7 linked regions of the Canis lupus familiaris genome follow. The protein of the gene in region 7 interacts with the protein of the main gene of each other region in a biochemical or structural test. Links are inferred from orthologs where the notes say so. Each region holds a gene or a part of one and is shown on either strand. Other genes may lie near its edges.

Evidence for each region.
Region 1: the proteins of RB1 (region 7) and histone-binding protein RBBP7 form a complex in vitro, tested with the Homo sapiens proteins (3 studies listed by BioGRID). The link is inferred for Canis lupus familiaris from reciprocal best matches to the Homo sapiens genes RB1 and RBBP7.
Region 2: the proteins of RB1 (region 7) and AHR form a complex in vitro, tested with the Homo sapiens proteins (2 studies listed by BioGRID). The link is inferred for Canis lupus familiaris from reciprocal best matches to the Homo sapiens genes RB1 and AHR.
Region 3: of the proteins of RB1 (region 7) and CDK6, one has a biochemical effect on the other in vitro, tested with the Homo sapiens proteins (9 studies listed by BioGRID and IntAct). The link is inferred for Canis lupus familiaris from reciprocal best matches to the Homo sapiens genes RB1 and CDK6.
Region 4: the proteins of RB1 (region 7) and EID1 form a complex in vitro, tested with the Homo sapiens proteins (5 studies listed by BioGRID). The link is inferred for Canis lupus familiaris from reciprocal best matches to the Homo sapiens genes RB1 and EID1.
Region 5: the proteins of RB1 (region 7) and LIN9 form a complex in vitro, tested with the Homo sapiens proteins (2 studies listed by BioGRID). The link is inferred for Canis lupus familiaris from reciprocal best matches to the Homo sapiens genes RB1 and LIN9.
Region 6: of the proteins of RB1 (region 7) and G2/mitotic-specific cyclin-B1-like, one has a biochemical effect on the other in vitro, tested with the Homo sapiens proteins (2 studies listed by BioGRID). The link is inferred for Canis lupus familiaris from reciprocal best matches to the Homo sapiens genes RB1 and CCNB1.

Annotation. Positions count from the first base shown.
Region 1 is NC_049260.1:13,073,842-13,078,233, forward strand, and holds part of histone-binding protein RBBP7, read right to left. Parts: intron 1,782-4,392; coding exon 1,621-1,781; intron 890-1,620; coding exon 763-889; intron 643-762; coding exon 565-642; intron 1-564. UniProt on the Homo sapiens protein: Core histone-binding subunit that may target chromatin remodeling factors, histone acetyltransferases and histone deacetylases to their histone substrates in a manner that is regulated by nucleosomal DNA.
Region 2 is NC_049235.1:31,836,784-31,840,321, forward strand, and holds part of AHR (aryl hydrocarbon receptor), read left to right. Parts: coding exon 1-289; intron 290-2,901; coding exon 2,902-3,048; 3' UTR 3,049-3,538. UniProt on the Homo sapiens protein: Ligand-activated transcription factor that enables cells to adapt to changing conditions by sensing compounds from the environment, diet, microbiome and cellular metabolism, and which plays important roles in development, immunity and cancer.
Region 3 is NC_049235.1:18,262,332-18,266,723, reverse strand, and holds part of CDK6 (cyclin-dependent kinase 6), read left to right. Parts: intron 1-3,895; coding exon 3,896-4,063; intron 4,064-4,392. UniProt on the Homo sapiens protein: Serine/threonine-protein kinase involved in the control of the cell cycle and differentiation; promotes G1/S transition. Phosphorylates pRB/RB1 and NPM1.
Region 4 is NC_049251.1:15,391,705-15,396,192, forward strand, and holds EID1 (EP300-interacting inhibitor of differentiation 1), read left to right. Parts: upstream 1-1,887; 5' UTR 1,888-2,094; coding exon 2,095-2,670; 3' UTR 2,671-3,781; downstream 3,782-4,488. UniProt on the Homo sapiens protein: Interacts with RB1 and EP300 and acts as a repressor of MYOD1 transactivation. Inhibits EP300 and CBP histone acetyltransferase activity.
Region 5 is NC_049228.1:38,545,881-38,550,272, reverse strand, and holds part of LIN9 (protein lin-9 homolog), read right to left. Parts: intron 3,077-4,392; coding exon 2,951-3,076; intron 1-2,950. UniProt on the Homo sapiens protein: Acts as a tumor suppressor. Inhibits DNA synthesis. Its ability to inhibit oncogenic transformation is mediated through its association with RB1. Plays a role in the expression of genes required for the G1/S transition.
Region 6 is NC_049250.1:29,512,181-29,516,324, forward strand, and holds G2/mitotic-specific cyclin-B1-like, read right to left. Parts: upstream 2,523-4,144; 5' UTR 2,428-2,522; coding exon 1,144-2,427; 3' UTR 1,122-1,143; downstream 1-1,121. UniProt on the Homo sapiens protein: Essential for the control of the cell cycle at the G2/M (mitosis) transition.
Region 7 is NC_049243.1:3,171,088-3,176,270, forward strand, and holds the start of RB1 (retinoblastoma-associated protein), read right to left. Parts: upstream 3,140-5,183; 5' UTR 3,041-3,139; coding exon 2,913-3,040; intron 2,085-2,912; exon of another isoform or gene 1,191-2,084; intron 742-1,190; exon of another isoform or gene 656-741; intron 471-655; coding exon 344-470; intron 1-343. UniProt on the Homo sapiens protein: Tumor suppressor that is a key regulator of the G1/S transition of the cell cycle. The hypophosphorylated form binds transcription regulators of the E2F family, preventing transcription of E2F-responsive genes.

The sequences.
Region 1 (4,392 bases), on a different chromosome or scaffold from region 7:
CCTACGTTTGTGGGTATCATTCTAATCCTTGAGATTTTCCCATCTCCTCTTCTGTATCCTCTTCTTGGATACAGCCCTCACCCTCCTTGTCCTGTCCTTTCAAGTGCTCTTAAATGGCCCATCTCCCCAGCCCACCCTCCGGGAAGATCACACCCCCCCATACAGGGGAGCTCAGCTAGGAACCTCCATACGCTTATTAATAAGCCCATAACTAATCCAGAAGCTTTTCACTTTTTCAATGAGGTGTATCTTAAACCTAAGCAAATCTCCATTTGAAACCACATACAAGGTATTTTTATTCACTAGAGAATGCACCACACTGGACACCTTAACTAAAGAATCCTTGAATTTCACTTTTTAAAATGATCCTGTTTTGCAAGATTTTTCTACTTCTAATGTAATAATCTCAAATAGCTCCAAGTTACTTCCCACTAGTTAACATATATATACAGAAGAGGAATTTAAAACAAATATCATGCCTGCTATAAAGCCAGTAAGATTTTAAATTTCCCACCATCAAAGAGTTACTAAAAGCCTGACAGACATGAGAAAACTGTCACATACCTGGAAAATTTCATCTTTATGAGATTCAAAGGTATGCAGTTTTAGTTTTAAATTACGCAGATCCCATAAAGCTACAGTCTGAAGAAAAATAAATGAAAAGGAATTCATTTCTGCACTGTACGAAGAATTTTAGAATATCTGATTATAGCACAAGACAACTGGATTCATAAACATCAAATATACAAAAACTTAAAAAACCTTATCCGCAGAGCCAGTTGCGAGAATGAACTCGCTGTAAGGGTTGAAGGACAGGCAGTTGACCTCGGCAGTGTGTGCATCCACCAGGTGGCTTGGCTTGGAGGTGGTGTTGGACCTGGTGTCCCATCTAGAACACAAAGACACAAGGCACACAGCACAAGCAGAAGCCACCCAACCCTCCTCAGTTTCTCATGCCCGTTTCCAGGTCTGCACCACTCCACACCACCCTTACTCTGCCATGCTCACCCCTTCATGGACACCCTAATCACATACAAAGCTGCCAATCTGGACTTCCAGCCACTAAGTGACATATTCTAAACCCACAGAAAATAAATTAGGGCTATCATTTCCAGTTTCAGATTCCTGTCTTATTACCAAATATTTCAAGCAGACACAACTACTGGAGAATAATGTAACAATTTGATACCTACAACCCAACCTTACCATATTTTACTATTTAGCCACATTTGCCTCAGATACTAGTTTCTTTATGAAATAAAACACATTTTAGGTGGCTGAATGCAGCCTGTAGCCATGCCCTGATGCAAACATTTTTAGCCCTCATCTTCAAAGTCACTGTGACCCTAATTTTGACACATACCACTAAGAATGTTTCTTTACATTTGTAGATTTTTTTCAAGTAAAAAAATATGTTCATTCATAGAGCACAGTATCTTCTATGCAAAAAAAAAAAAAAAAAAAAAAAAGCTGTTACACTTGTTGTTTCTTGTATGTCAAGCTAAAGCTTTTAAGGCCAGTATATAACTTAAAAAAAAAATCAAACCATAGGCCACCACAATCACTGTTGATCATTCAGGACACCCATATATCAAGACCCCACTGAACCTTCCACCTTACATCATAAGCTTCTGATCATCAGCAACAGATCCAAACAATGACTCGTGCAGCAGATGCCAGGCCACATCCTCTACAACAGCCGAGTGGCCAGTAAAGATGGCTTTAGCATCCACAATCTTGCCTTCCTTTGGTCCTGCATTTATATCCCACAGACAGACAGTCTAAAGAAGGAAAAAACAAACAATCTTCATTAAAAAATTATATAACTAGGGGTGCCTGGCTGGCTCAGTCTGAAGAGTGAATCTTGATCTCGAGGTGTGAGTTCGAGCCCCATGCTGGGTGTAGAGATCACTTAAACTTAAAAATTATCTAACTATATATATAAAGGCAGAAATAAACACAAGGGAGAAGAAATATAAACAAAGTGAAGCTTCAGAAACACAAGAGTATGCTTATAGCTTTCATCACCTGAGATGCAGAGGGCAAGGAAAAGGAAAGTATATGATAACGGGGACAGAGAAACCAGGCACGATGGCAGGCAATAGACAATGAGGTAGAGTTTCTACTGACATACTTTCAATCAAGTATCTAAAATTCATCTAGAGGGGATCCCTGGGTGGCTCAGCGGTTTTGCACCTGCCTTTGGCCCAGGGCGTGATCCTGGAGTCCTGGGATCGAGTCCCATATCAGGCTCCCAGCATGGAGCCTGCTTCTCCTTCTGCCTGTGTCTCTGCCTCTCTTTCTCTGACTCTCATGAATACATAAATAAAATCTTTTAAAATTCATCTCGATTACACAATGCAACACTAAGAGTCCAATATTCAGTATTTACTGAACAGATACTCCTGTCCTAAAAATTCACACAGGGTTGGGAGACTGGAAATTAAGGTGTCTGCTTCTCCCTCTCCCTCCCCTCCCGCTGCTTGTGCTCATGAAGGCTCTGTAAAATGGATGAATAAAATCTTTAAAGGCGGGGGCGGCTCAGTGGTTGAGAATCTGCCTTTGGCTAGGGTTGTGGTCCCGGATGGAATCTGGCATCAGGTTCCGCACAGGGATGCTGCTTCTTCCTCTGCCTATGTCTCTGTCACTCTCTGTCTCTCATGAATAAATTACATAAGATCTTAAAAAAAGAAAAATCTTTGGATAATTCTCTCGCCTCACAGCAGAAACCACTATTTGTAGTGGAACATTAGGAAGTCGAACATGTGAAAAATCCAGAAACCCCAACTAGGCTACTTTGAGAGGCCAAAGCTTAAGGCCTGCTGACAGATCCCCACAGCACAGACCTCAATACTTCAGCAAAATCCAAGGAAAGGCCATGGGCCTTTCCCAGGCCTCAAAGATCACAGATCAGCAGGCTCTGGGATCTGATTCTTCAAATGAAAACCATTACAAAGTTAACAGGAAAGTTTTTATGAAAAAATATTACAAGCTATGGGACAATGATTATCATCCAAACGGTTTAAAAGGTAATTCCACTAAGACATATTTGCCCCAACAATTCCACTGACTGGTATGGGTTTCATCTCTTTGAAAATCACTTTCTTATCTGAAAGACTTTCTGTGACAAAGCTATTTCCCAGTAATAGCTATGTACTCAGTAACAAAAAAAATAGTTTTACAGAATACACCCTTAGTCTTTGTTGATATACACTCAGACAATTTACAAGCACTGAAGAAAAAGGAACATATATAGAGCTCTTGACATCCTTTCCTGCTCATTTCAGAAGGATCCTGGGAAGATGAGCAAGAAGCCTGGCACATGCAGAGCCCTTAGAAAACGTCAGCTATTATAACTAGCAAATCCCAGCGTGGTGTCTTCAAAAGGCACTAGTAATAAAGTTACTGAGCATAATCCATTCCGTTTCAGAGACTCTACCACACCCACTTTGAGGGAAGTGGAGGAAAGCTTCCTTTTGGAGAACTAAGGGAGACCCTCACTTCTCAGCCTCCCTCGTGGCTAGGACATGATAGTGGCTACATCAGTCTGACCAGGATTTTTTTAAATTAATTAATTTGACAGAGATTGAGAGATTGAGAGAGATATACTGCATACAGCAAGGAGAATAGCAGGCAGACAGAGAGAGAGAGAAGCAGAGAGCCTGATGCAGGGCTTGATCCTAGGACCCCGGGATCATGACCTAAGCTGAAGGCAGTTGCTTAACCAACTGAGCCACCCAGGTGCCCCTGACCAGGACTTTAAATTGTGAACATTAAGAGGGAAATCTGTTCTCATGTTTGCCAAGTGTGTGGGGGGGTACAAAGTGGAGAGTAACACCCACCCGCTTCTCCTCTCTGTTCTGGGCCATTTTCTAGCCAGCAAAGCAATTCTGTGAGCTACCCTACCCAACACCCTTCTGATAAATTCCTTTTCTGTTTGCATCAGCCGGAGTTGGTTTTGGTTGCTTGCAGCTAAAGAATCTTGACTGAACCAATTACCTACTTTCAATATTTAAAAAAGCTTAACAGAAATTGTAACCAGTAGAAATAAAAGAAGGTCTGTGATGCAATAGGCCTGTTCTAGACAGGAGGATATACTACGGAAGAAGGTTAAGAGAACCTGTGGCCAAGTTACAAGAGCTTTCAAAAGCTCCAGAAGTCTACTCTCAGCTCTGGGCTGGAGTCATACCCACCATATTTTGCTTACAGTATGGGATCCATGAAGGAAGGTATGGAGCTGTAGGTGGCAAGAATGCTACAAAGATTGATCTACAATAAGTTAACAAGATCACTTTGTGTTTGTGTGGTACTTTTGTTAAAATACTTGTATTAAGGATGCCAAGATAACTCTTAGAAGAAAACATAGATGTAAATCTTTGTGATGTCGGATTA
Region 2 (3,538 bases), on a different chromosome or scaffold from region 7:
TCAGTCTGTGTTACCACAGCATTCTAAGGGGACACAGTTAGACTTTCCCATAGGAAATTTTGAACCATCCCCCTACCATACTACTAATTTGGAAGACTTTGTCACATGTTTACAAGTCCCTGAAAACCAAACACATGGACTAAATCCAGAGTCAACCATAGTAACTCCTCAGTCCTGTTATGCCGGGGCTGTGTCCATGTACCAGTGCCAGCCGGAACCTCAGCACAGCCATGTGGCTCAGATGCCATACAATCCAACCATGCCAGGTCCACAGGCATTTTTAAACAAGGTAAGGGTTTTATCAGACTGAAGAAACCCTTTCAGTGATCCTTCTTACATTATAAATACACATGAGTTGTAAACATTTTATGTCTGTGACTACTTTTATGTTAGTCAGTACTTTTCTGGTATTAGTATGTTAATATGAATAGGTCTTTTTTGCTTGAATTGTAGAGGAAAAAGAAGTCAAGGGCTAAGGCAACCTAATATGTCCTTTAGTTACCAAGTGAAATTATTACAAAATATATTGTTTAGAATAGATTCTTGAGTTTATCTCTCTTCTTTATATGATCCTTTAAAAATTCAGAAATCTATTTGCATTTTTTAAAAGATTTTATTTATTTATTTGACAGAGAGATAGAGCACAAACAAAAGGAGAAGCAGGTTCCCTGCTGAACAGGGAGCCTGACATGGGGCTCAATCCCAGGATGCTGGAATTGTGACCTGAGCTGAAGGCTGACACTTAACTGACTGAACCATTTACGTGCCCCTGTATTTGCAAAGTGTTTTCTTTAGGTCCACCTGGGTGGTTCAGTTGGTTAAGTGCCCAGCTCTTGACTTCTGCTCAGATCATGATCTCAGGGCCATAGATAGAGCCCAGCATGGAGTCTGCATAAGATTCTTTCTCTCCCTCTCCCTCCCCCTCTTAAAAAATTTAAAGCTCAGTCTTTTTTATATGACTTAAAGCCAATATAGCTGTGCTTTCTTCAAATGCCTTTGTCCTGGGTGACCCCTGAATTCAGCCACAGTACCTTCAAGTTATCTGCCAGATGCTCATTTTATCTTTAAAAGTGGAATATTTTCTTCTGGAATTTTAAAAAATTTTCTCTCATGTTGTCAAGCTTGACACTGTATTTTCATTTTATTTTTAAAAATTTTACTTATTTTTTAAGAGTCATATACTTTACTGTAAGCACCCCTGCATTTTGATTTTTTTTTAATGTGTCATCAGGATTCTTCTAACAGCCACCACAGTTTAAATCTAAAAGTAATCGTTGAAAAAAAAACATTAATGATGGTAGCTGCTTTCTCTTTCTATCTCTCTGGCCTCCTGGGAATATATTTTGTTTGCATTCATGCTTTTCCATTAAAAAATATTTAGTGCACTTTAAAGAATAATTCAGTAGGCTTTTGAAGAAAATCCTGATCAAAATTAAGTTCATTGATCTCTATTTACTGTGTATTAAAGTGTTGGAATAGCAGAAGAGATTCAAGTTCATGACATTTTTCACACATTTGGTTTGCCTATAGATGAGGTTTTTAGTAGAAAACGGCAGTGGAAGTTTTTCCTCTGATATATATCCAGCGTCCCTCCCGACATCCTTCAGTTATCTCAAAATTTAGTTTTCAGTTCGAGTCTATCTCACAACATCGCCATAACGTGGCAGAGGTAGGCAACCTGAGTAAACTGCTGACACGTCCCTCATTTACAGGGTTTACAATTGTATTACTCAAGTTGTTCAGTTTTGTTTTTTACTCCCCAGTTTAGGTTTTTTTATTACTTTATGAGTAAGAAGATAATAGGAAGTGAGTAGCCCTATGGATTCCCCCAGGAAATTATTTAAAATTAAAATTACCTATGTGGCTCACATTGTATTTCTATTAGACAGCACTGCTTTTGACAATATATTTAAAGAGAATTGCTGACATGCATCATGCTTTGACTAATGAGTCATTTATTCAAAGACTACCATTCTCTGATAATACCAACATCTGTTTGAAGACTCCATGTAGATGCCATTCATTAAAGACCTAGATTATGTGACTTTTTACTATATATTTAATGTTTTGGAGGATCTTTTAAGTCTAATGTTAACATGTGACATAGGATTTACTTGAAGCAATTAGAGTTATGAGTTCAAGCTATTTGAAAGTTGCCACAACTTTCACTAACTATATACTAAAATACAAAAGTTCCATATAAATCCCTACAGAATTGTGTATCTGCCTCTTTTTTTTCAGTAGCAGTTATAGACTAATTTTATTGTAAAGAAGATGAGAGCACTTTATTTGGTAACTTAATCTGTAATTGGGACCATTTTTAATAGTACTTCTCAAAAGCATATAACAGATAAAAAATTGGTTTAGGAAATCCTATCTATGCTATATTTTAGGAATATTAAGACATCTCTATCAGAACTGACCTTTTATGGAAAAGTCCTAGGTCTGCAGTCCAATGTATTAATTTTGAATGCAGTCAATCCATTGGTACCCAGAACTTGACTAAAATGGAATCTGGTCAAAGCAAACCTATTTATGACAGATATATTATGTAACTGTGAATCATAGCTGATACTCTCTGATCTGTCAGTTTCTATCCAAACCAAAGACAACTTGTTCATCAGATACTCTTCTAATGTATGGAATGCCAAATCTGAGCTCAGACTGATATATCACACATTTGTACCATCTAATGGAGAAACCAGGAAGTTATAAATGCAACACATAGTATGTGCTCAGTAGGTCTTTGCTGAATGATTGAAATTTTAGCAACAGTAAAGAACTGAAGTTTAACAATATGCAAGGCAAATGTTTTAAAAATGCAGTTTAATATATCATTTAGTGGCTTAAGATACTTGAAAGATCTAGTCTGATTAATCGCATTGCTATTTTTGTTTGCAGTTTCAGAATGGAGGAGTTTTAAATGAAACCTATCCCGCTGAATTAAGTAATATAAATAACACTCAGACTCCCACACATCTTCAGCCCCTTCATCACCCACCAGAAGCCAGACCTTTCCCTGATTTGACATCCAGTGGATTCCTGTAATTCCAAGCCCCTTTTGCACCTTGGTTTTTGGATGAGTTTGCAGAAGATTACAGAATAATAATACTGTCAGTGTTGGTCATCAGCAAGTTTACATGGAGGCATTGATGTGTGTTGTTTGTGCTATTTTTCCAAACCAAACTTCAGTGTTTTTAAGAGTTAAGAAAATTACCAGAAATACATATAGTCATTAAACTATAAATTGTGCTGCCACAGGGAGTGAGGTTCCATCTCTATTTCACATGATTCTGAGTACCAGAGAATATACAAAACTTATTTAGGGGAACTGTAGGACACTTTTAAATAAAAATTTGTCAGAAAAAAATACTTTTGAATTTTCAGCTTCTAGATTATTATTAATATACCAAATACAAAATTAAACTCCTTTTGTTTAGCTTTGGCTTTTATCTCAGATATTAAAGTAAGTGATTTGGTGCTTTTATAAAAGATAATCTCAGTGCTTTCCTCCTTCATTGTTAATATAAGTGCCTCA
Region 3 (4,392 bases), on a different chromosome or scaffold from region 7:
TAATAAGCTTAAGTAAAGAATCCTTTGAAATGTCTTTGATCCAAGCACTTCTTGTGGTTCTGAAGCAAAAGTGTGTTTCCCTGCCTTGTTTAGTGGTACAGTTTTGTTCATTTCATTCTGAGAAATTGGTACCATGTCTTATTTTTCCTTATGACTGGAGTCCCTAATGTAGCTGAGTATATTTTCCCTTTGAGATTAGGTGTTCCAGTGAATGACAGGTAAAGATTGAGGAGGGTTCCCACATCACAGTTATTACAAGTCTACAATGTACATCAGTCTACCTCACAATTGAATCATTGAAGATAATGAGATTTGGGCAAAAATTTTTAAGCTATTTAATTCAAAGCTCACATAGTTCAAAACTCTTTTGTAACTGGATATTGTAGGTTTAGGAGAAAACCCTATTTGCTCACACAAAAAAATTTAAAAATAGCCTGATAGGGCACCTGGGTGGCTCAGTTGGTTAAGCGTCTGCCTTCCACACAGGTCATGATCCCAGGGTTCTGAGATCAAATCCCGTGTTGGAATCCCTGTCCTGTATCTCCCTCTACCCCTCACCCCTTCTCATACTCTCTCTCTCTCTCAAGTAAAAATATAAAATCTTTAAAAATAAATAAAAATAGCCTAATAAAATCTAAAGAATGGCAATCCTTATGTAAAATCAGCTTCCTATACCTCGATAAGCACCATTTATGTGGAATCGTTATTGCACTTATATGGTTTGGCACTACTTAAACTGTGCTGGGTGTAATAGTTATAATGGTAACAAGTCATTTTCAAGTACTCTAGCCTTAAATGAAGGGGAACTAGACTTCCAGTACAAGTTTCAAAATAACACAACTAAAATAATGATTATGGCATATCTCAGGGAGGAAAGCCATGCAGCCGTTAAAAATTATGTTGTATTGGGATCCCTGGGTGGCTCACTGGTTGAGTGTCTGCCTTCAGCTCAGGTCGTGATCCTGGGGTCCTGAGATTGAGTCTTGCATCAGGCTCCCCATGGGGAGCCTGCTTCTCCCTCTGCCTATGTCTCTGCCTCTGTGGGTCTCTCATGAATAAATAAAATCTTAAAAACAAATCATGTATTAAAAAAAAGAATCTTGTGGATGTGGCAAAAATATTCATAATGAATTGTTAAATGTTTTTAAAACATTTAACCACATAAACCACAAAATAATGTGTACAGAATAATCATTTTTATTTACAAATACGTGTTTATATTAAGTCTTTGTTTATGCTATACATTATATATATTTACATATAAATATGATGTATTTATACTTACAAATATAGCAACATCTGTAATTTTTTTTGAGACATTTGTAATTTTTGAAAGACCAGAAAGACAAAAAATATTTAATGATAAAGTTTTCTCTATTCTCTGAGCAATAGGATTTTGAGTGATTTCTGTTCTTCCTCTGGATTCTTTTTTAAGATTGATTATTTATTTATTTATTTATTTATTTATTTATTTATTTATTTTAGAGAGTGAGCATGCAAGCAGGGGGAGGAGCAGAGGGAGAGGGACAAGCAGACTCTGTACTGAGTGTAGAGCCCCACAGGGGGCTCAATCTCATGACCCTGGGATTATGACCTGAGCCAAAATCAAGAGTTGGACTGTTAACCAACTGAGCTACCCACATATCCCCTTCCTCTGGATCCTAAAAACATTTTTATAAGTTTCTACATTAAGCATGTACCATTTTAATAATTAAGAAAGATGTCATATGTCCTATATAAATAAATACATAGATAAAAGCAATTAACACTTTTTTTTTTTTTTACTCTTGGTTCAGGTTTTTGGTAAACTTTAGATGAGTTTTATTAATTAGTTCAAATTTTAAAATTTTTATTCTGCTAATTGGCTGCTTAGACTATTATAAACAATGATAAATGAACCAAACATATATTCTCAGTAGTTTTAAATGGTTGGTGTTGAAAGTATAAGAATAAAGATGACAGGCCAGCATGGCATTACTTTAGGTTAATCATGCTGTTTAAAATCCAGGGCTTACAAGCCATGAGCATAACGTTTCCAACAATGACTGGTTTGCCCCAGCAGAGTACTCTTGTTAATACATATGCTTCCGTTTCACACTGGAAGGATGTGCATTGTGAGGTGTGTGACCTGCAGTGGTTCCCGGGTCCTAAAGGACTGACCCTCATCAGTGCAGTTTTCTTCAAGAGGTTTGCCTTTGAAAACTTAGAAGGTAAACTTTCCCAGGACAGAGTATCCATTGAGGTGCATCTCAAAGGGATTCTAGTACACCTGGGTCATTGCATATCACTGCTCAGTGCTTTGTTTCCAATGCTAAGGAGTCAGCAGGTTCCCTGACCTTATGGCACTGGCCACATTTTCTTATGGTTGTTTGTGATTGTCTCCCCTGGGGAAACAGGACACTTGAATGATTGTCATTCATTGAATGCTTACCATTTCCCAAAACTGCACTACCTCCCTTGGTATATATTACTTCATTTAATCTCATAATATTATAAAAAGTAAGCACAATTTTCTCTTCATTTTATGTAAAACTAAGGCTTCGATTTTAAATAAGCCAGCAGAACTCCCAGCTCTAAAGGAAAAACCAGCACTGTAACCAATAACCAAATATGACTCAGCTGATGAACAAGTGTGTCCTCACAGCCTTTGCCAGCTTTGAAGCCCATGATGCTGCCCTACCACTTTTCTAATCCTTATATGAACAAAATAATCCCATCCTCCCTTGTGCACAGCATTTGCACAGTATTTTGGAGGGTAGGTCAATTTTATTAACCTTAGAATTCAAAGGATCCAATGGTCAGAATCTTAAATTCCTACTTTCAGACACTGTTTCTGAGTTTTAAATCTTCTCTCTAATTTTACTGGTTCCAAAGTTATAAAAAGATGTGACATTATTTTTTGAATGCCACCTCCCGCCCCGCTCCATGCTGGTTAATAATGATAGCAATGAGCTACCATTTATTGAGGACTCACTACTGTGCTAAGTGCTTTCTTAACAGTGATGCCATGAAATCGGTTTTGTTGCTTAGGAATTGAGGTTTCACAAGGTTAAATGGCTTACCTGGCCTTATATACTCATTCCATCATTGATCTAATAAAGGAATGCACTGGGAATTTGAACCCACTTTTTCTGTTGAATCAACACTACTTGGCTAGTGATGTTACTTTGGGCTAATTATATATACCCGTGAATCAGTTTCTTGACCATAAGATGCGATAATGCTATTATTTACCTTAGTGTTGGGTATTGAGAAAAGTACTTGACACGTAGTGACTACTTAGTTGCTATAAAAGTAATAGGAATTACCATTAATAGCATTATCATATACTAGGTTTTAACTGTTGAAATAATATATTAAACCATATGAAAGTATATAAAGTAAAAAGTGTCTCCCTCTTACCACCTACTTCTTCTCCCCAGCCTTTACTACAGATACCAGTTTGGTATTTACCTCCCAGAATATTTCTTATGCCATCCAAAACTATTTTTTTTTAATATTTTATTTATTTGAGAGAGAGAAAGCATGAGCAGAGAGGAGTGGCAGAGGGAGAGGGAGAAGCAGATTCCTCACTGAGCAGGGAACCCAACACGGGGCTTAATCCCAGGACCCTAGGATCGTGACCCGAGCCGAAGGCGGATGCTTAACCGACAGCCATGCAGGCACCCCAGGCATCTGAAACTATTTTTAAATTTTCCTTTTGTGAATAAGATACAGGTCAATGTGAAATTTTTTGCTTGTGACCTTGCAAATGGAAGACTAGAGAGGTTAAGAAGGAAAACAAATTCATTTATTCAGGAAATACTTGTCAAATGCTTTCCAAGGCTAAGGATTCCTCTACATGTTGAATTTCTGTTTTGATAGTTTATTGATTTTCTTTTTTGGTTTTATTTAGGATATGATGTTTCAGCTTCTCCGAGGCCTGGACTTTCTTCATTCTCACCGAGTAGTGCATCGCGATTTAAAACCACAGAACATTTTAGTGACCAGCAGTGGACAAATAAAACTGGCTGACTTCGGCCTTGCCCGCATCTACAGTTTTCAGATGGCTCTTACTTCAGTGGTGAGTGAGAAAGTGCTATTCTTTCATTAAAGTTATGTTTCCTCTTTTAAATAATGAACTGCCCTTATGCCATGCCCCTGAGATTATTACTGCCTGTGGTCAGTTGGGGGAGAGAATGTCTTTACACTTTTTAAAAAAAAAAAAGGTTTTATTTATTTATTCATGAGAGACACAGAAAGAGAGAGAGAGAGAGAGGCAGAGACATAGGCAGAAGGAGAAGCAGGCTCCATGCAGGGAGCCCGACGTGGGACTCGATCCGGTTACTCCAGGATCATGCCCTGGACCAAAGGCTCAACTGCTAAGCCACCCAGGCTTCCTGTCTTTGCGCT
Region 4 (4,488 bases), on a different chromosome or scaffold from region 7:
ACACATTCATTGTCTTTTAGTCTATGATAAATGTGGCACCAAACAGCCAACAAAAGGACAGTGATTAAATTAGTCGAGTTGAATGAATTAGCTGTATATATGTAAAAAACTATTTAAATAAATCCTGTCCTGGGATCCCTGGGTGGCGCAGCGGTTTGGCGCCTGCCTTTGGCCCAGGGCGCGATCCTGGAGACCCGGGATCGAATCCCACGTCGGGCTCCCGGTGCATGGAGCCTGCTTCTCCCTCTGCCTATGTCTCTGCCTCTCTCTCTCTCTCTCTCTCTCTGTGTGTGACTATCATAAATAAATAAAGAAAAAAATATTAAAAAAAAAATCCTGTCCTCAGAGTATTTATATAAGTGAAGGTTTTATCCATAAAAGATCTATTCAAACATTAGAAGACAAATACAAGATTACGCTGTGATCTGTGAGGTAGGAAAACCCATCTTGATAGAAAGGAAAAGACATACAGAAAAAATTAAAAACCTTCTATTTGATTACAGGAAAACTCATTTTAAAACTTTTGTCACCAGAAAAGACCCCTGAAACAGGACAAATAACAGGCAGGGAGAATATATTTGCAACACTTAAAACAAAGTATTCATTTAGTTTGTAAGAAATTCCTACAAGTCAATAAGAAAAAGAAATAAACCAAAAATAAGAGCAGTTGATTTTCATAAGTCACACAAATGTTCAATAAGCACACTGAAAAATACCCAATTTCCAAGAAATCAAGGCTGTGGAAAATAAAACAAGATACCATTAAATTGATAAAATTGCTCAACAAAACTATGTGCGGCAAGGATACAGATATTCTCAAACACTGCCGAGGACAGGTTACATTTGTACAGCAATCTTGGGAAGCAGTTTGACAGCATGAATTAAAAACTAAAGTATGCACACCCTACAATTATGCCTTCCCACTTCTAGGTTATTTATTCTAGAGAAACACTGGCGTATATGGATGTCATTTACCCATAGTTTATAATATTGAAAAATCGGAAATTTTGCGCGCAAAGTTAGGTCAACAACAGCATAGCTATACAAATAAAATGCTAAAAAATAAAAAATAAATAAAATGAAATGCTGTACACACACACACACACCACCACCACCACCACTCATCTATGTACCCCAACAAAGCTAAACCTTCAAGACACTGCAGAGGGGCTTTTTGTTTTGTAATCTGAAGACAGTTACGTAAGACATGCAAAAACAAAAAACAACCCACACACAGAACAAGATTTTTGCACGAGGTTGTAAAGGAAAAGGACAAATGCAATGGAAAAGGATTTAAAGAATACACACTGAAACTGACCACAGTTAACCTCCTGTGGAAATAGAGTCAAGTACTTCTTCAGCATGTAGCGAAGATAGATAATATGTTTGTGAATTTATTATTATTTTTTTTTAATGGGGGAAACAGAAGTAGAGCTGAATGGATCAGTTCATAGTATGTTGGTCTGTGGTTGAGAACACTGATTTGGCGGTGTGGATGCGGGAGCCCTGCGCATGGACGACAGGTGCAGATGCGAGGGTCTAGGGGAGGGAAGGGGAGGAGGGATGGGGAGGAGGGAGGGAGGGAGGGAGAGAGGGGGAGAGGGAAAGAGAGAGGGAGGGGGGAGGGAGCGAGGGGAGCGCAAGGGGAAGGGAGAGGGGGAAGGAGGGAGAGAGGGGGAGGAAGAGGGAGCGAGGGGGAGGGATAGAGGGGGAGGAGGAAGAGGGGGAGGAGGGAGGGGGAGATGGGGAGAGGGGGAGGGAGCAGGGGGGAGGCTGAAACGTCGTAACAGAGGCCACGTAAAGTATCTCCAAGTTTACAGCACCGTAAGGAGCGGGACGGTTAAGCAAAGCGGAGATAAGGCGACTCTCTTAAACGCAGGGCCTCGCTAAGCAGCAGGAACGGACGGCGAACGGGAGCCCCTCCCGCCGCAGGAGTCGGCCCCCCCGCCCGACGGGCACCCGGGAGGCGGCGTCCGGGGGTCGCGCAGACGCACGGGGTCACGCAGGCGCGCGGCGTCGGCGCACGCGCAGAACCGCCCGGCCGCGTAGCTCCGTCTGCAGGGACGCCTGGCTAGAGGGTGCGCCGCGAGTACGATGTCGGAGATGAACGAGCTGTCCGAGCTGTATGAAGAGAGCAATGACCTGCAGATGGATGTGATGCCCGGCGAGGGTGACCTTCCGCAGATGGAGGTAGGCGGCGGGAGCCGGGAGCCCTCCCCGAACCCCTCCCGCCACGGGGCCCAGCCGCAGCTGGAGGAGGAAGGCCCGATGGAGGAGGAGGCGGCCCAGCCAATGGCGGAGCCGCAGGGGGAACGAGGCCTTGCTCACCGGCCCAGCCCGGGGGAGCAGCCGGGCCAGCTCGCCGGCCCTGACTTCGAGAGCGAGGACGAGGGTGAGGAGTTTGATGACTGGGAGGACGACTACGATTATCCGGAAGAGGAGCAACTGAGTGGTGCCGGCTACAGGGTATCCGCGGCCCTGGAGGAAGCCAACAAGATGTTCCTGAGAACATCCAGAGCCAGAGAAGCAGCCCTGGATGGCGGGTTTCAAATGCATTACGAGAAGACCCCGTTTGATCAGTTGGCTTTCATCGAAGAGCTTTTTTCACTTATGGTTGTCAATCGCCTGACCGAAGAACTCGGCTGTGATGAGATTATTGACAGAGAGTGATTACACGCTGTTAAAAGAGGAGGAAGCTACTTGAGGAGAGACCCGACATTCCACGGTCTTTTGGGCTCATTCCAGATAGATAGTAACGGTGCCAAGGGAAAAAAGTCGATCTTCAAAGAAAATTTTTGTTGTTGTCGTGCAGAGTAGAATAGGGCAGTGACTGCGCTCTTATGAAAGCATTGTTGGAGAAGAAGAAGAAACGTATCAGGACTGTGGAAATCTGTTTTCAAGAATGTTCCTGAAACACCTGCCGCTTAGACTTTGTTACTGATCCCGGTTATTTTCCTTGCATTTGGGGAAAATACCTCTCCTATATTTCACTATAAGGAATGGTTTTGCAAGAATAAGTTATGACCAAGACAAACCGCCAGTACAAGACCCCCACTGATACCAATTACGTGAGAAAAAGTAGTAACATCCAATTTAGGACACAAGATGTCTGAATCGTTTGGACTGAAAGCCTACTGAGAGAACTCTGGAGGTTCCACTTTGTGGTCTGTCCAAGCCAGTGTTCAAAGGCTAAATTTTTAGTGTAAAAAAAAAAAAAAAAAAAAAAAAATTGGGTATTCTTCACTATCCCAAAAAGATAAACCCAAGAAGAAATATGTATCATGTGTGATCTATCTCAAAATGTGTTTTCAAGAGCATCTGAAATTTTGTTTGTACGTGTATCTTGATCATTTATAAAGCTACTATGATCCATAATTCAAGAAAATTTGTCTTGCCATTTTTAAAACTCAAAAATTAAGACGTCCGTAATTTCAAAGTTAGACATTAAAATGTATGTGAAAGAACAGACTATTTCTGATACTCTTACATACTAGAGAAGTTGTTTTACTTGCTCTCTTTGTTTTTCATTTAACTTACAGGTGAAGGACTTTGGTTGAACTTCATAATATAAGAACTGTTAAAGTGAAAATGTCAAGTAAAAGGAAAGCCCTACATCCAAAAAGAAAGACTGAACAATTATGCCCTCAACCCTTAAAAGGTTTTAAAACCTGCCCAGAAATCCACCTCAGTATCTGAAGTTTCCCTCTGTCTCCTCCTCTAATTACGCTTGTCATTGGTTATGCACCAGCATTCGAGATAATAAAATTTCTTGTTCTGTGTATTTTGTTTGTTTGGCCAAGAATATTGTTCCCATACTTTATCTAAACACTATTATTTTATTGTATTGTGCTATTTTATTTTATCATTGAAACCACTTTATGATTCACATTTAACCACTACATGGGAAAGTGCTCCAGCTTCAAGTAACTGATTTATAAATTAACTTGTGGATATTAAACTTGGCAAATTCCTATGAAAGAATTTGCCAGCCTGAGAAAACCTGTCCTATTAAGGTGAGCATGTTGCTGTGGTTATTAAGGTTCTGAAGTTGTATAAGAATAGTAGTAATTCTGTCAGAAAGCTGTGCCCAGTAAAACAGTATATTAGTAGGTCTGATGATCAATAAAAGTACTGGATGTTCCTGCCCCTTATGGCACTAAAGGACACATCCAGTACAATACCACAGCTCAGCCTCAGTTACAGTCATCTTGCCTCTTATGGGTGGGGGGCGGGGGTCCTTTTACATAAAGTAGAGGACTGGCGAGGGTGACCATAGTTACTGAAACACTAGCTTGGTGAGGAGGAGAATAGATAGATGGGACAATAATAAGCAAGATGTTAGCACTTAACCATCCTAACCCTGCCTCTCCAATGCCTTAATTTCACTGCATTTTCAAACAGCTTGTAGCTGCAGCTAGATGAGTCTGATTATTGCTTGTATGATGTGAATTAACTGAATTTGGGAGTGGGGCAAAGGATGCCAACACA
Region 5 (4,392 bases), on a different chromosome or scaffold from region 7:
AAAAGTTTTTCTCTCCCACTCCCTTTACCCACTCTGTGCTCACTCACTCTCTATCTCTCTAAAGTGAATAAATCTTAAAAAAAAAAAAAAAAACAAAAAAAACCCCAAAACTTGAAATCAAACCATCCATCTCACTGTTACTTCTTTTCCTCTCTTTCTTTCAAGTAATTGTATTTAAAAATGAGTTCTTAGAAATAATAATTATCTTTAAAGTAAATTATATCTTTTTAAAAACAGGACTTTGCAAGACTTAAAGATTTATAAGCAAGTCTACATCATCCTTTCCTACAAAGCAGGAGGATTTGTCCACCATCCTCTGACAACACTGCATCTGGATCATAGGACTCCCTCTGGGACAATGTTCAATTACAATATTCTATTCAGAAGAACATGATATTTTCCCTGTGACCCCATGAGCACACCAATATAGAACTAAAGATGAGGCTTACCACTGTGTAAATGTTTAATCATACTTCCTGCCTTGAAGCATAAATACCGAATTTACTCTTATCTTTAGGGACTGTTTTACTTCTATTTTCAAATACTGGGATGAATCAAAGTAACTTAAATATAGCTTTCGTGTCACAAAATATATATCCATAAAACAATCATCACAGACAAGATAATGAACATTTGAAGACATCAATCACTCCACAAAGTTTCCTTGTGGCATTTTATTATCCCTCCTTCGCATCCCTCCCATTTCTGTACCCCTACTTCTCAAGCAATTGCTGAAGTGCTCTCAGTCATTATAGTTTCTACCTTTTAAAATCTTATACAAAATAAATAAATAAATAAAAATAAAATCTTATACAAATGAAATCATGTAGAATGAACTCTTTTGTCAGGCTTCTTTCACTCAGCAGAATTATTCCAAGATTAATCTGTGTTGTTACATGTACCAATGGTTCATTCTTTTTATTGGAGAACAGTATCCATTTCTATGAATGGCCACCGTTTACCCATTCACCTACTGGTGGACATTTGTATTATTTTCAGTTTGGCGCTATTACAACAAAGTTGATATGAACATTTATGTGTATAGGTTTGGTTTTTTTTTAAGATTTTATTTATTTGTTCACTAGAGACAGAGAGAGAGGGAGAGAGAGAGAGAGAGAGAGAGAGAGAGGCAGACACATAGGCAGAGGGAAAAGCAGACTCCATGCAGGGAACCTGATGTGGGACTCGATTCTGGGACTCCAGGATCATGCCTGAGCCGAAGACAGACAGACACTTAGCTGCTGAGCCACCCAGGTGTCCCTGTGTATAGGTTTTTGTATAAATATAGGCTTTCATTTCTCTTAACTAAATACCTAAGAGTGGAATGGCGGGGTCGTATGGTCAGTGTATGTTTAACCCTTTTAAGAAACCAAAGAAGCCAGGGATGTCTGGGTGGCTATGTTAGAAAGCAAGATAACACTACAAAGGGAAAAGTCATTTCACATGAAAAGTAATTTTCAGAAAATAACATATTGGAGAGATTCACTTGATTTTTCTTTCTGGGGTTTTTCTGTTTTTGTTTTTAGATAGAATGCGTTTTTGTTTTACTGAGGTATAATAGATATATAAGACACTATGTAACCTTCAGGTGTACAAGAGAATGATTCAATATTTGTATATATTGTGAAATGATCACCACACTAAGTCTAGTTAACATCTGTCACCATATATAGTTACAATTTTTTTTTCTTGTGATAAGAACTTTTAAGATCTACCGTCAGCAACTTTAAAATATGCTTTACAGCCACTTGGGTGGCTCAGTTAAGCATCTGCCTTTGGCTCAGGTCATGATCTCGGGGTCCTGGGATCGAGCCCCACATCAGACTCCCTGTTCAGTGGGGAGCCTGCTTCTCCCTCTCCCTCTCCCCACCCTTCACTCATGCTCTCTCACAGTCTAATAAATAAATAAAATCTTTTTTTAAAAAAAGCTTTACAATACTATTAACTATAGTCATCACACTATACATTACATTCCATGACTCATAACTGCAAGGTTCTATCTTTTGATCCCCTTCACCCATCTCACCCTACCCCTTTATCTTGTTTTTATATAAAGTAAAATATGTAAGAAGGCTTTTGCGGTGATAGATGGTTTCTAAAAAGATAACAATGTATTAGTATACCCCGAGAGCTTCATTAAATATAGTGTACTCCTAAAAAACAAGGATGTGACCACTCAGGTCCACTTATGCATGGATTTTATTTTTTAATATAGTATGGTACTATAAATGTATCTTCCGTTCTTATGATTTTCTTAATACCATTTTCTTTTCTCCAGCTTATTTTATTGTAAGAACACAGTAATATATATGTGTTATTGACTGTTTATATTATCAGTAAGATTTCCAGTCAATAGTAAACTACTAGTAGTTAGGTTTTGGGGGGAGTCAAAAGTTATATGAAGATTTGACTGTGCAGGGTCGGCATCCCTAACCTCCATATTGTTAAAGGATCAAATATATTTTCTAGTGTATTCTTAAATATTTTTTGGAACATAGTGGGGCATAGAGAATGTAAGAAAATTATGTTCGAATCCTATAATTTGAAAAATGAAACTGTATTTAATTTTAAGATGCATCGATATAAAAAGCACCTATATTAAAGCTAGTTATGGGATCCCTGGGTGGCGCAGCGGTTTGGCGCCTGCCTTTGGCCTAGGGCGCGATCCTGGAGACCCAGGATCGAATCCCACATCGGGCTCCCAGTGCATGGAGCCTGCTTCTCCCTCTGCCTGTGTCTCTGCCTCTCTCTCTCTCTCTCTCTCTCTGTGACTATCATAAATAAATAAAAATTAAAAAAAAAAAAAGCTAGTTATCAGGATATATTTAAAATATAATGATTCTGAAAAGTTATGTTTCAGGACTAGTCTTTGCAAAGATGAAAAGTAATCAATGTGGTAATTATACTACCAACTAACTTACTGGTTTATTTTAAATAAAAATATTTTTACCTCCGTGGTTTTCCCATAAGTCGCCTGATTTTTCCCCATTCTACTCTTGTTAACTTTCTTGTTTTTAAATTAGGAAAAGATTCCTTCAGACATACACAGAAGTCATTATCACCTTCAAAGAGTGGTCTGTAAGACAGAAATGGTAATTTAGTGGTTAATCACAATTATTTCAGAGGCATAAATTCAAAATATGCTTTACAATTTTCAACATTATACTAATCCTCAAATGCATCTTTCACTTCTACCCAGGACATATACAAAATTGGCACAATTTCAAACTGTTAAAACTAAAAGTGGCATTTGTGAAACAATTAATGTATACAATTTACTCAAGAAATGTCTGTGCTGGAGATTCCAGGAGACTCTGATTTTTGCTAAATCTCACATATGAGTATCCTAGTATATCTTGGCACTGTCATTACATCCAGTGAGGATGAACAATGTTAGCTACAAAGTATCTTTGTCCCAAAGGTAATACCAACAGCAAGGAGTCCTCTTTGAGATTAAGTAAATTTTAGAAAAATAGGGACTCTAGAGGGTTATATCAGTTCTTGGGAATTCTAGAACTCAGATCACACCAAGATACCCTGAAAGCCTCATAAACTATGGAAAAATCAGTGGACGAAAATAAAACAATTTCAGGGGGGCATGGCTGGGTCAGTACGTAGAGCATGTGACTCTTGATTTTGGGACTGTAAATCTGAGCCTCACGTTGGATACAGAGATTAGACTTCAATAAGGTCTTTTAAAAAGAAATTAGGGGGATACCTGGGTGGCTCAGCAGTTTAGTGCCTGCCTTCGGCCCAGGGCGTGATCCCTGAGTCCCGGGATCGAATCCCACATCGGGCTCCTTGCATGGAGCCTGTTTCTCCCTCTGCCTATGTCTCTGCCTCTCTCTCTCTCTGTGTCTCTCATGAATAAATAAATAAAATCTTTTTTTTTTTAATTTAATTTTTATTTATGATAGTCACAGAGAGAGAGATTGAGGCAGAGACACAGGCAGAAGGAGAAGCAGGCTCCATGCACCGGGAGCCCGATGTGGGACTCGATCCCGGGTCTCCAGGATCGCGCCCTGGGCCAAAGGCAGGCGCTAAACCGTTGTGCCACCCAGGGATCCCCAAATAAATAAAATCTTATAAAATCAAATCAATTAGGGCAGCCCTGGTGGCGCAGCGGTTTGGCACCGCCTGCAGCCTGGGGCGTGATCTTGGAGACCCGGGATCGAGTCCCACATCAGGCTCCCTGCATGGAGCCTGCTTCTCCCTCTGCCTGTGTCTCTGCCTCTCTCTCTCTGTGTCTATGAGTAAATAAATAAAATCTAAAAAAAAAAAAAAAAAAAAAAAAAAAAAATCAAATCAATTAAATTAAATTAAATTAAAATAAATAAAATAAATAAATAAAATAAATAAAAATAAATAAAATAAAGAAATAAAATAAAATAA
Region 6 (4,144 bases), on a different chromosome or scaffold from region 7:
TAGCATAGACATTTTCATAATATTAATTCTTCTAATCCATGAGCATAGAATATTTTTCCATCTCTTTGTGTCTTCCTCAATTTCTTTCAGAAGTGTTCTGTAGTTTTTAGAGTATAGATCCTTTACCTCTTTGGTTAGGTTTATTCCTAGGTATCTTATGCTTTGGGGTGCAATTGTAAATGGGGTCGACTCCTTAATTTCTCTTTTTTCAGTCTCATTGTTAGTACCACATTTTACTACAGCTACTCGGGAGCTGGAGTGTCCTCTATATACATTATGGTAACAGTCTCTTTCTCTTTCACACACAGACACAGACATAAACTCACATACATCATCATGGAATGAATGTTTAGTTGTATATGCATTGTATCATGCTTAGATTTTTTTCCTTCTTTTCCCCATACTGGCTCTATGTCAAATATTCACTTTAAAAGAAATGTAAGAGATATTATGTTCTCTATGTTGATTTTTGTAGAGTTGAGTACATGATGCAGTTCATTTAAAACCTGGGAAGAGCCACCTTGTGGCAAAATTTAGCACTTCACCATTATTTTTTTAAAGAAAAGTTGTAAGTGGCATTAAATTGTGTAGCAAAATAAAAGGTACTGATATTGTACGCAAATTCTAGAATATGGTTTCTGAGATATATAGTTTGACTTTAACATTAGCCAATATTATCAAAAGGTATTGAGAATTTGAAAAGCTTAGATTAAAATATGCAAAAGATATTGCATACACTAATGACTGTATATTTTAAATGTTCATTTCAAGGTTTTAGTTGTCTCCTAGTACACGCAGTTTCGGTTACACTAATTTGTACCTTAAAAATGAAAACTTAGGGGTTCCAGGCTGGCTTAGTTGATAGAACATCCGACTTGTGATCTTGGAGCCGTAAGTTCAGGTCCTATGTTGGATATGGAGATTACTTAAACAACAAATTAATTAATTAAAAAAAATTTTTTTAAATTAAAAAAATGAAAACTTAGAAAATATATCTAATTAGTTTTTTCTTTTTTTTTTAAGAAGTTAAAAAGGACCACAAGCTTTATTAAAAGTAAGTAAAGGTAACATATAATATATACAGATGGCACATGGTGCCAATTTTATTTGCAGATATTACAATACTCCAATGCATGTTTCAAGTTACACCTTTGCCACAGCCTTGGCTAAATCTTGAACTAGTGCAGAATTTAGCTGTGCCAGAGTGCTGATCTTAGCATGCTTAGAGGCGGCATACTTGTTCTTGATAGTCATGTGCTTTGTAAGCCCACGATTCACCATGACTATATTCTTAGCCAGGTGTTGCATAACATTTAGAAGGGATTCTTCAGTGTAGGACAGAAAATGCTGTAGAGTTGGTGTCCATTCACCATTATCGAGAATTTTCAGCGCTAAGCAAAAAGCTCCTGCTGCAATCTGAGAAGGAGGAAAGTGTACCATATCGCAGTCCAACATAGATAGCTCCATCAGGTATTTGGCCAAAGTATGTTGCTCAACATCAACCTCTCCAATCTTAGACACTCTCCGAAGGAAATGCAGGGGTAGAGGGCAGCCCAGACCAAAATTTAAGGATCTTAGAATCTTCATTTCCATCTGTCTGATTTGGTGTTTAGTGTAAGTATTGTCAGTCACAAAGGCAAAGTCACCAATTTCTGGAGGGTACATTTCCTCATATTTGCTTGCAATAAACATGGCAGTGACACCAACCAGCTGCAGCATCTTCTTGGGCACACAGTTATTCTGCATGAACCGATCAATAATGGAAACAGTCATGTACATGGTCTCCTGCAGTAACCTGAATTTTTTTTGAACCTGTACTAGCCAGTCAATTAGGATGGCTCTCATGTTTCCAGTGACTTCACGACCCAGTAGGTATTTTGGTTTGACTGCTTGTTCTTCCTCAAGTTGTCTCAGATAAGCATAAATATCTTTCACGTATTCACTACAAAGGTTTGGATCAGCTCCATCTTCTGCATCTACATCATTCACTGCAAGAATTACATCAGAGAAAGCCTGACACAGATATTCTTCTGCAGGAGCACATCCAGATGTTTCCATCGGGCTTGGAGAGGGAGTATCAACCAAAATAGGCTCGGGTGAAAGTTTTTCTTCTTTAACCGGCTCAGGTTCCAGCTCTGGTTCTGGCACAGGGACAGGGACAGGCTCAGGTGCCTTCTCCAGAGGCTTTGGTATTTTTTTAGCAATGACTTTTCCAGGAACTGCAGTTTTTGCTTCCTTTTTCAGAGGCAGTTTGGCCTGTGGTTGTTCACTGACTTTGTTACCAATGTCTCCCAGAGCAGTTCTTGGCCTCAGGCCGGGCTTGGAGGCTGCAGCAGAGGCCAGAGGCACCTGCTTTGCCCCTGCCATACCGATCTTCGCCTTGTTTTCAACATTCACTTTTGTGTTCCTGGTGACCCGGAGCGCCATGGCCGCGTCTTCACGGGGGGAGAGGAGAGCGCGGGAGCCGCTGACGAGCCGGGAGCCGGGAGCCGGGAGCCGGGAGCCGGGAGCCGGGAGCCGAGGCCCGCGGGTCAACAGCCGTTCCTCCGCAGCACCTCTAATTAGTTTTTTCTTGATGTGTAATTATAATATAGCTTATATTTCATTGTATATTTAAATATATTTGTATAATATTGGTTGTAATCATGTATTAATAATTGAGAATACTCAGTTTTCTTTTTGGTTTAATTGATATATTGACATCTTTGCAGTGTTTCCTAAATTTCCTTTAACTTGGCAATTCACCAAATTCTTCTTTCAGTTAATTCCCACATTTTCATGTCTGTCTTTCTTTCTTTCTTTCTTTCTTTCTTTCTTTCTTTCTTTCTTTCTTTCTTTCTTCTTTCACGTCTTTCATAAAACCTTCTCCATTTAATTGAATGTGGTAGTAAATTTGCAACTCCTAATAAATACTCAGTGTATACTTGGGTATGAAGAGCCACACCATTGTAGGTCTCTCCTCTCTTTTTTCCCTTCTTTTTTTTTTTTTTAAATTAAAGATTTTATTTATTTTCTCATGAGAGACACAGAGAGAGAAGCAGAGACATAGGCAGAGGGAGAAGCAGGCTCAATGTGGGGAATCTGATGTGGGACTCCATCCCAGGACCCTGGGATCATGCCCTGAGCCCAAGGCAGATGCTCAACCACTGAGCCACCTAGGTACCCCTCTCTTTTCCCTTCTTCATTGGTACTTTGAAAACTTCTTGAAAGCTAAGAGGTTAATTCAGTATCTTACTGTCTGCCCTTGCATTTTCCTGCCACTTCTCCTTTTCTTCATTCCTGGCCTCTGTATTTCCTCTGACATTGGGGCCTATCTGGTAGTGGTGGAGTCAAGCGAGGTGGTGATGGTGTAAGTATTGGCATGCAGATGCAGCAGGGAGATCTGGAATCTAAATGTATACTATAGGAGGAGGAATGCAGTGAGCTGGAATGAAGAGGAGAGAAAGGAAATACACACACTCAATACCGAAATCCTTCTCTTTGGCTTCTGCTGCCCTTCTCATTTCCAAGTATATTTTCTCCTCTCAAATTTCCATGGGTGTATGACTTTTGTTTGAGCTTTGTTTGTGTGTATTGGTCTTTTTGGGTTACCAGTTATTCAGTTTCAAATCTGGAATATTTGAGGCAAAAAGAAAGCCTAGGAAACTCACCACCCTTTCATTCCTTGAGTCTCTGTGTTTCTACTGATATGCCCTCTCTCCACATTTTAGAGTCTTCAGATGTTTGTTGTATACATAGTGTCCAGGGTTTTAAATTGTACATAAGGGGAAAAATAAGGAAAAATAGATCAACTTTTTTTTTCTCGGAAGCAAAATTCTTAAGTAACTTTGTCTTCTTTAAGTTTACTTTTTGTAAATCACTTTTCTTACTATGTAGAGAGCAGATTCACAAGGGAAGAAAGTAGTGAAGCAAGAGAAGCTGGGAGACCATTTAAAAATTGTTTCAACCAATTAAATGGTGTTCATTTGTGTAATGGTAGTGGCACTAGAAATGGAGCAAAGTGTATGTTTCTGTTTATATAATGATATTCTTGGTTAACTATTTAGTAGCTTTTTTTCATCCAACATATATTTATTATGCACATATCAGGTGCTGGATGTAGGCATTGGGTGGAGAGTGGTAAGCAACATGAGTATCATCTCTG
Region 7 (5,183 bases):
CAAAATTATTACTAGCTTTTCTTTTCTTTATATTTTTCTATTTTCCAAGTTATCTATAGTAATTCAAAATCATTTTTTAATTGAGAAAATTGGGGGGCACTTGAGTGGCTCAGTCAGTTGAGCATTTGACTCTTGGTTTTGGCTCAGGTCATATCTCAGGGTCCTCAGATCGAGCCCTACATGGGGCTCTGTGCTCAGCAGAGAATCTCCTTGAGATTCTCTGTCTTCCTTTCCCTCTACCCCTCCCCATGTTCAGGCTCTCTTTCTGTTTATCAAATACATAAAATCTTTTTTAAAAAATAATGAGAAAGTTTTCTTCAAAAAATGTTAAAGAAATCCTTACCAATACTCCATCCACAGATGAAACTTTCTCCCAAGTTAACCAAGCTCTTTCTCTGACATGATCTGGTATCTTTAATTTCTGACATAATGCAGTAAAATCGGGTTCTTCGGTTTCTTCAAACACAAGCCTACCAGATAAAAACAGACATATAATGGGGATATATTTAGAAATCAAACTAAAAGTAAACATTTGCTTCAATGGTTTGCATATAACAAACATCATTATTCTGAAAAAAGGCATTACTAAGTACTTTAAAATCTTATTTATCTTTGAAAAAAAATTACAGAATTTAAATGTTTATTTTTTTCATAGTCCTTCCAACAAATATACAACACAGTGAAAGATGTTTGTTGGCCTGAATCACATACACACCAGAACAGCAAAATAGCTTTGGAAAAGTAAGTAAGTATGATAGCTAACGCTGTATGGGAAAAGCGGGATGACAATAAGAGCAAAAAGAAGAAAGCCCATTTATGATATTGCAGAATCAATTTAGTATCAGCAATTTTGCTAAAATGCAGTCTACGCTTATCAACGTCTCATATAATCTCTCTACCTATAAGCATTTCTCACGTAATAAGAAACTTAACATGAATTCCTGCTATTCTTATTTCAGCCTTTTCTCTTCGATCTTCCTTACCCAAGATAGGTAGTCAATAGTTTCTTGTTGGCTAGCTCCCTTTCATTCTCTTAATGTCTATTTGACACCTAATAATAATATAAGGAATAGCTAATAATTTTTGAGTATTTACTCTGAGCCTGTGTGAATAAAGTATCTTAAATGTATAGTTTCAGTGGAATCCACACATGGGCCTACTAGATAAGTACTCTTATCCTTGTTTTACAGACAAGTACCAAATAAGAAGTTAAAGGACTCACTTGAGGACATGGCCAGTAAGTGGGAAACCCAAGTCTAACTCCATGATCCATGCCCTTGACCACTATGCCAGACTGGTAAACCTCCTTCAGAGCGTAATTAACTTTGATCATGTCAACAAGGAGGGTGCACTCTTGCTCCTAGTGAAGGTTTCCCTTCCAACATTCCCACTTAGGCCAGATATAATGCAACAGAGAGAAGATCTCAGCTTCAAGGTACAGACAGATTCCATCACTGAAAATGCAGGTGGAGCGGGCCCTGAATCCATCCCTAAGCAGGACGCTTGGCTTTGGATTGCCAGGCACTAGTTTCACCCTTGCTAAGCAGCTAGTCTACACAGTTCAACTGCCCGTACTAGCAAAACCTTTCGGGGGGTATGGTTAATCAAGAGTGGAGTGTATCCTGTATGGTTTTACTTACAGGAAAATTTTTTATAGTTCCATCATTTAAAAGTAAATAATGCAATGTTGGGGTGGGGAAGAAAGGCCTTCTTTTCCCAGGTGGGGGCCCTAATTTGAATATTTCTGGTTACCCTACAATAATCCAGAGGACGCTTCCAAAGCTCCGTGGTAAACATGGAACTCTTTATAGAGTAGATTTACTGCTTTTTCCAAATGAAAACGTTCAAGTACTGGACACAACAGAGCTTAATCAGAAATTAAATTTGCTTTCAGAACAGCTTGACTGTTTTTCCCCCCAATTAGCGAGTGTGATTTTTAACTGACCTGTAAGACAACCCATTTCAACATATGTATTTTTAACAGCTTTTCACAGGCCATCCCAGAAGCCCATTCCAATCGTTCACAATCTATCTGAACCCTGTTAGTGTCTAGCAAGTTCAAAGAATAGGGCTTAGTAATGGACTAGAACAGGTGAGGAAGCGGTGAGGAAAAGAAAGCAATCCCATTCTCAAACAAAACAAAACAAAACAAAACAAAAAACAGGTACTCTCAGAGTGGTGGAACCAGGACTGGCAAAAATAATGGCAATCATAGTCTTTCAGTCTTAGGTTCTTAACCATAAAGTACCACGATCGTGAAAAATAGGATGCTGCAACAGAATAAGTCCTCCCTGTCACGTTCTACTGTATTATCACAGTAGTCGCCTAAATTTAGAGACCACTTGGTGGTGCTGGTGCTGGTGGTGGCGCTGGTGGTGGTGCGGGTGGTGCTGGTGCTGGTGCTGGTGGTGCTGGTGCTGGTGCTGGTGGCGGTGCTGGTGCTGGGGGGGGGGGGGGGGGGGAGAAGTGTGCTGTGAGCACGGGCAGCTCACGAACTCTGCAGCCCAAGCGAAACAAAACAAGAGCAGGCGCGAGGATGTGTCCGGGCTGGAAGGCAAAATGGAAGAAGCGCTGCAAAGCGCCGAAGACGGATACCGAGGCTGTGCAGGGGGACCACGGAGAGGGAGCGGAGGCAGGCAGCGGCGCTCCAGCGGGGCGCGTCGCGGGGCTTGCCCGGTGCCGAGGCCTGGAGCCGCGTCGCCGCCGCCGTGTCCGCGGGAGGCCGCCCGTCCCCCGCCGCGTCGGCCGCCGGCTCCGTGTCCGCGGGCGCGGCGGCGGCACCTGTCACCGGGCGCGGGCGCCCGACCCCCCCCCGCCCGACACCTGTCAAGCCGGCGCCCGGCCCCCGCCGACACCGCGCCCGCCCCGGCCCCCGCCCGCGCCCGCGCCCGCCCCCGCCGCTCTGGGCTCACCCGGGCAGAGGCGGGTCGTCGGGGCCGCTGTCCTGCGCCGGGTCCTCCTCGGGCGGCGGCGGCGGCGGCGGCGGCGGCGGGGCTTCGGCGGCGGCGGCGGCGGCCCTCCGGGGGGCTTTGGGCGGCATGGCTGTCCGCGGGCCGGCGGCGGGGCGGGGCGCGGCGCGGCGCGGCGCGGCGGGGCGGGGCGGGGCGGGGCGGGGGGCGCACCTCGGGGCCGCCCCGCTGCGCGCAGACCCGGGGAGCGGCGCCCGGCGGAGCCCACGAGCCCTCCTCCCGCCGCCCACCGAGCGCCGGGCCAGCCGCGCGAAAACGTCACTTCCGCCCGCGGCGTCACGTCCGCGAGCTCCGGGGCCGCCGGCGGCGGGACGGACGGGGCGCTCCGGGGGCGCGGGGCGGCGGCGGGCGCGCGGCGGGCGGGGCCTGCACCCCCGCGGCCCCCGGGACGCGCTCGCCTCTCCCGGCGCGGGCCCGACCCCCGCCGCCCTGGGCCCCGCTCCGGCGGCGGGCGGCGGCGGCGCCGTATCTAGCGAGCGCACCCCGGGGGCACGCCCCGCCGCGCCCCCCCGCCCCGCGACACCCCGCCGCGCGCCGCGCCCTCCCGCCGCCTCCGCCCCGCCCCGCCGCGCCCCCTCCCCTCCCCGCCCCTCCCCGCCCCCTCCGCGCCGCCCCCCCGCGACCCGCGTCCGCGCCCTCCCACCGCCCCGCGACCTCCGGCTCGCCCCCGCCGAGCCTCCCCCGCGTCCCCGCCCCCTCCGCGCTGCGACCCCCTCTCCCCTTCTCCCCGTCTCCCCGTCCCCCCGTCCCCGACCGCCCTCCGCTCCCCGCCCCGCCCCCTCGCCCCTCCCCGCCCCGCCCCCGCTCCCGCTCCCGCCCAATCCGCCCCGCCGGATCCGCCAAAACAAAAACAACCGTCTGCGGAGCCCCCCGGGCCGCGAACGCTGGCGACGCCGGGAGACGGCGGGACGCGCGGGGCGAAGCACGGCCGCCCTCCGGGACCTGCGCGCGCAGACGGGGCCGGGGGCAGAGCCGGTGAGGACCTGAGCGCCCGCCCGCCGCGGCCCCCGGTGCCCCCCGCAGGCGCCGCCCGCCGTCCCGCGTCCGAGCATCGCCCTCTCCGGGTGTCCCTCGGGAGTAAATGAACTTTCATCTTTTTTTAAGTCAGGATTGTATTTAATATTTTATTTATTTATTCATGAGAGACACAGAGAGAGAGAGACGCAGAGACCCAGGCAGAGGGAGAAGCAGGCTCCACGCGGGGACCCGACGCGGGACTCGAACCCGGGACCCCGGGGTCACGCGCTGGTGAGCCACCCCCCACCCCCGCCCGGGCTGCCCCGTAAACGAAGTTTTAAAAACCGCGCGCGCGCGCACAGAACCGGGAGGGGCCGGCAAACTGTAAGGGGCATTTTCAGAGAAAAAGCGGCAGCTGAATGAATGCAAGCCCGCCCGGCCCGCCCGGCCCGGCCCGGCCCACGCGGGACGAGCGCCCACTGTGTGCCCGGCGCGTGCTGGGCCTCAACCAGTGATCGCCAGCCTCAGAACAACCCTTTGAAATCGGTGCTTTGGTCTTCCCCAGATGGGTGAATCCGCCCAGCGTTAGGGAGCGGATGGGGGGTCAGAGGATTTGAAAATAAATAAATAAGCAAACAAACAAACAAATAAATAAATCCTTATACACACGATTCAGGAACAATCGGGTCAAAGTTTTAAATCCCCCCACACGGCTTTCTGTTGCACAACCAAAGAAACATAAGAAATTCTGCAGATTCTTAAAAGAAGCCTTTCCTGATCTTTCCCCAACAGTGAAACCAGTCTTTTCAAAAGTTGCCCCCGTCCTAGTTGTCAGTTCAATGACTTCTTTCTGATCTTCTCTCTACTTGGCCTTTCTTGCAGTTAACGCAGTTAAACCACTTCCTCTTGCGTAAAGCTTCGCTAGTCTTCCACAAATCCAGGGTCCCCTTTTCCTCCCCCTCCCTCCTGTTCCTTTGTAAACTCCTCCCCTGGTTCTACTTTCCCTTGTCTTCAGTGCAGGTCCCCTCCCCGACAGCAGCATGACCCAAAGTGTGCTCCTTGGGCGCACGCTGCGCAGTTGGCGGATACCCACAAAGAAGTAAGCACAGGGATCGAGAGCGAGTGCTTAGCAGCCCTTAGAGCGATTTAATATTTCAGCTACATCCGAGCACATGATCGTCGGACACCTCTCATTAAACAGAACATGGAACAGGTCAGGTGTTCCCTAACTTGTGGGGTTGCGGGTGGCATGACTGT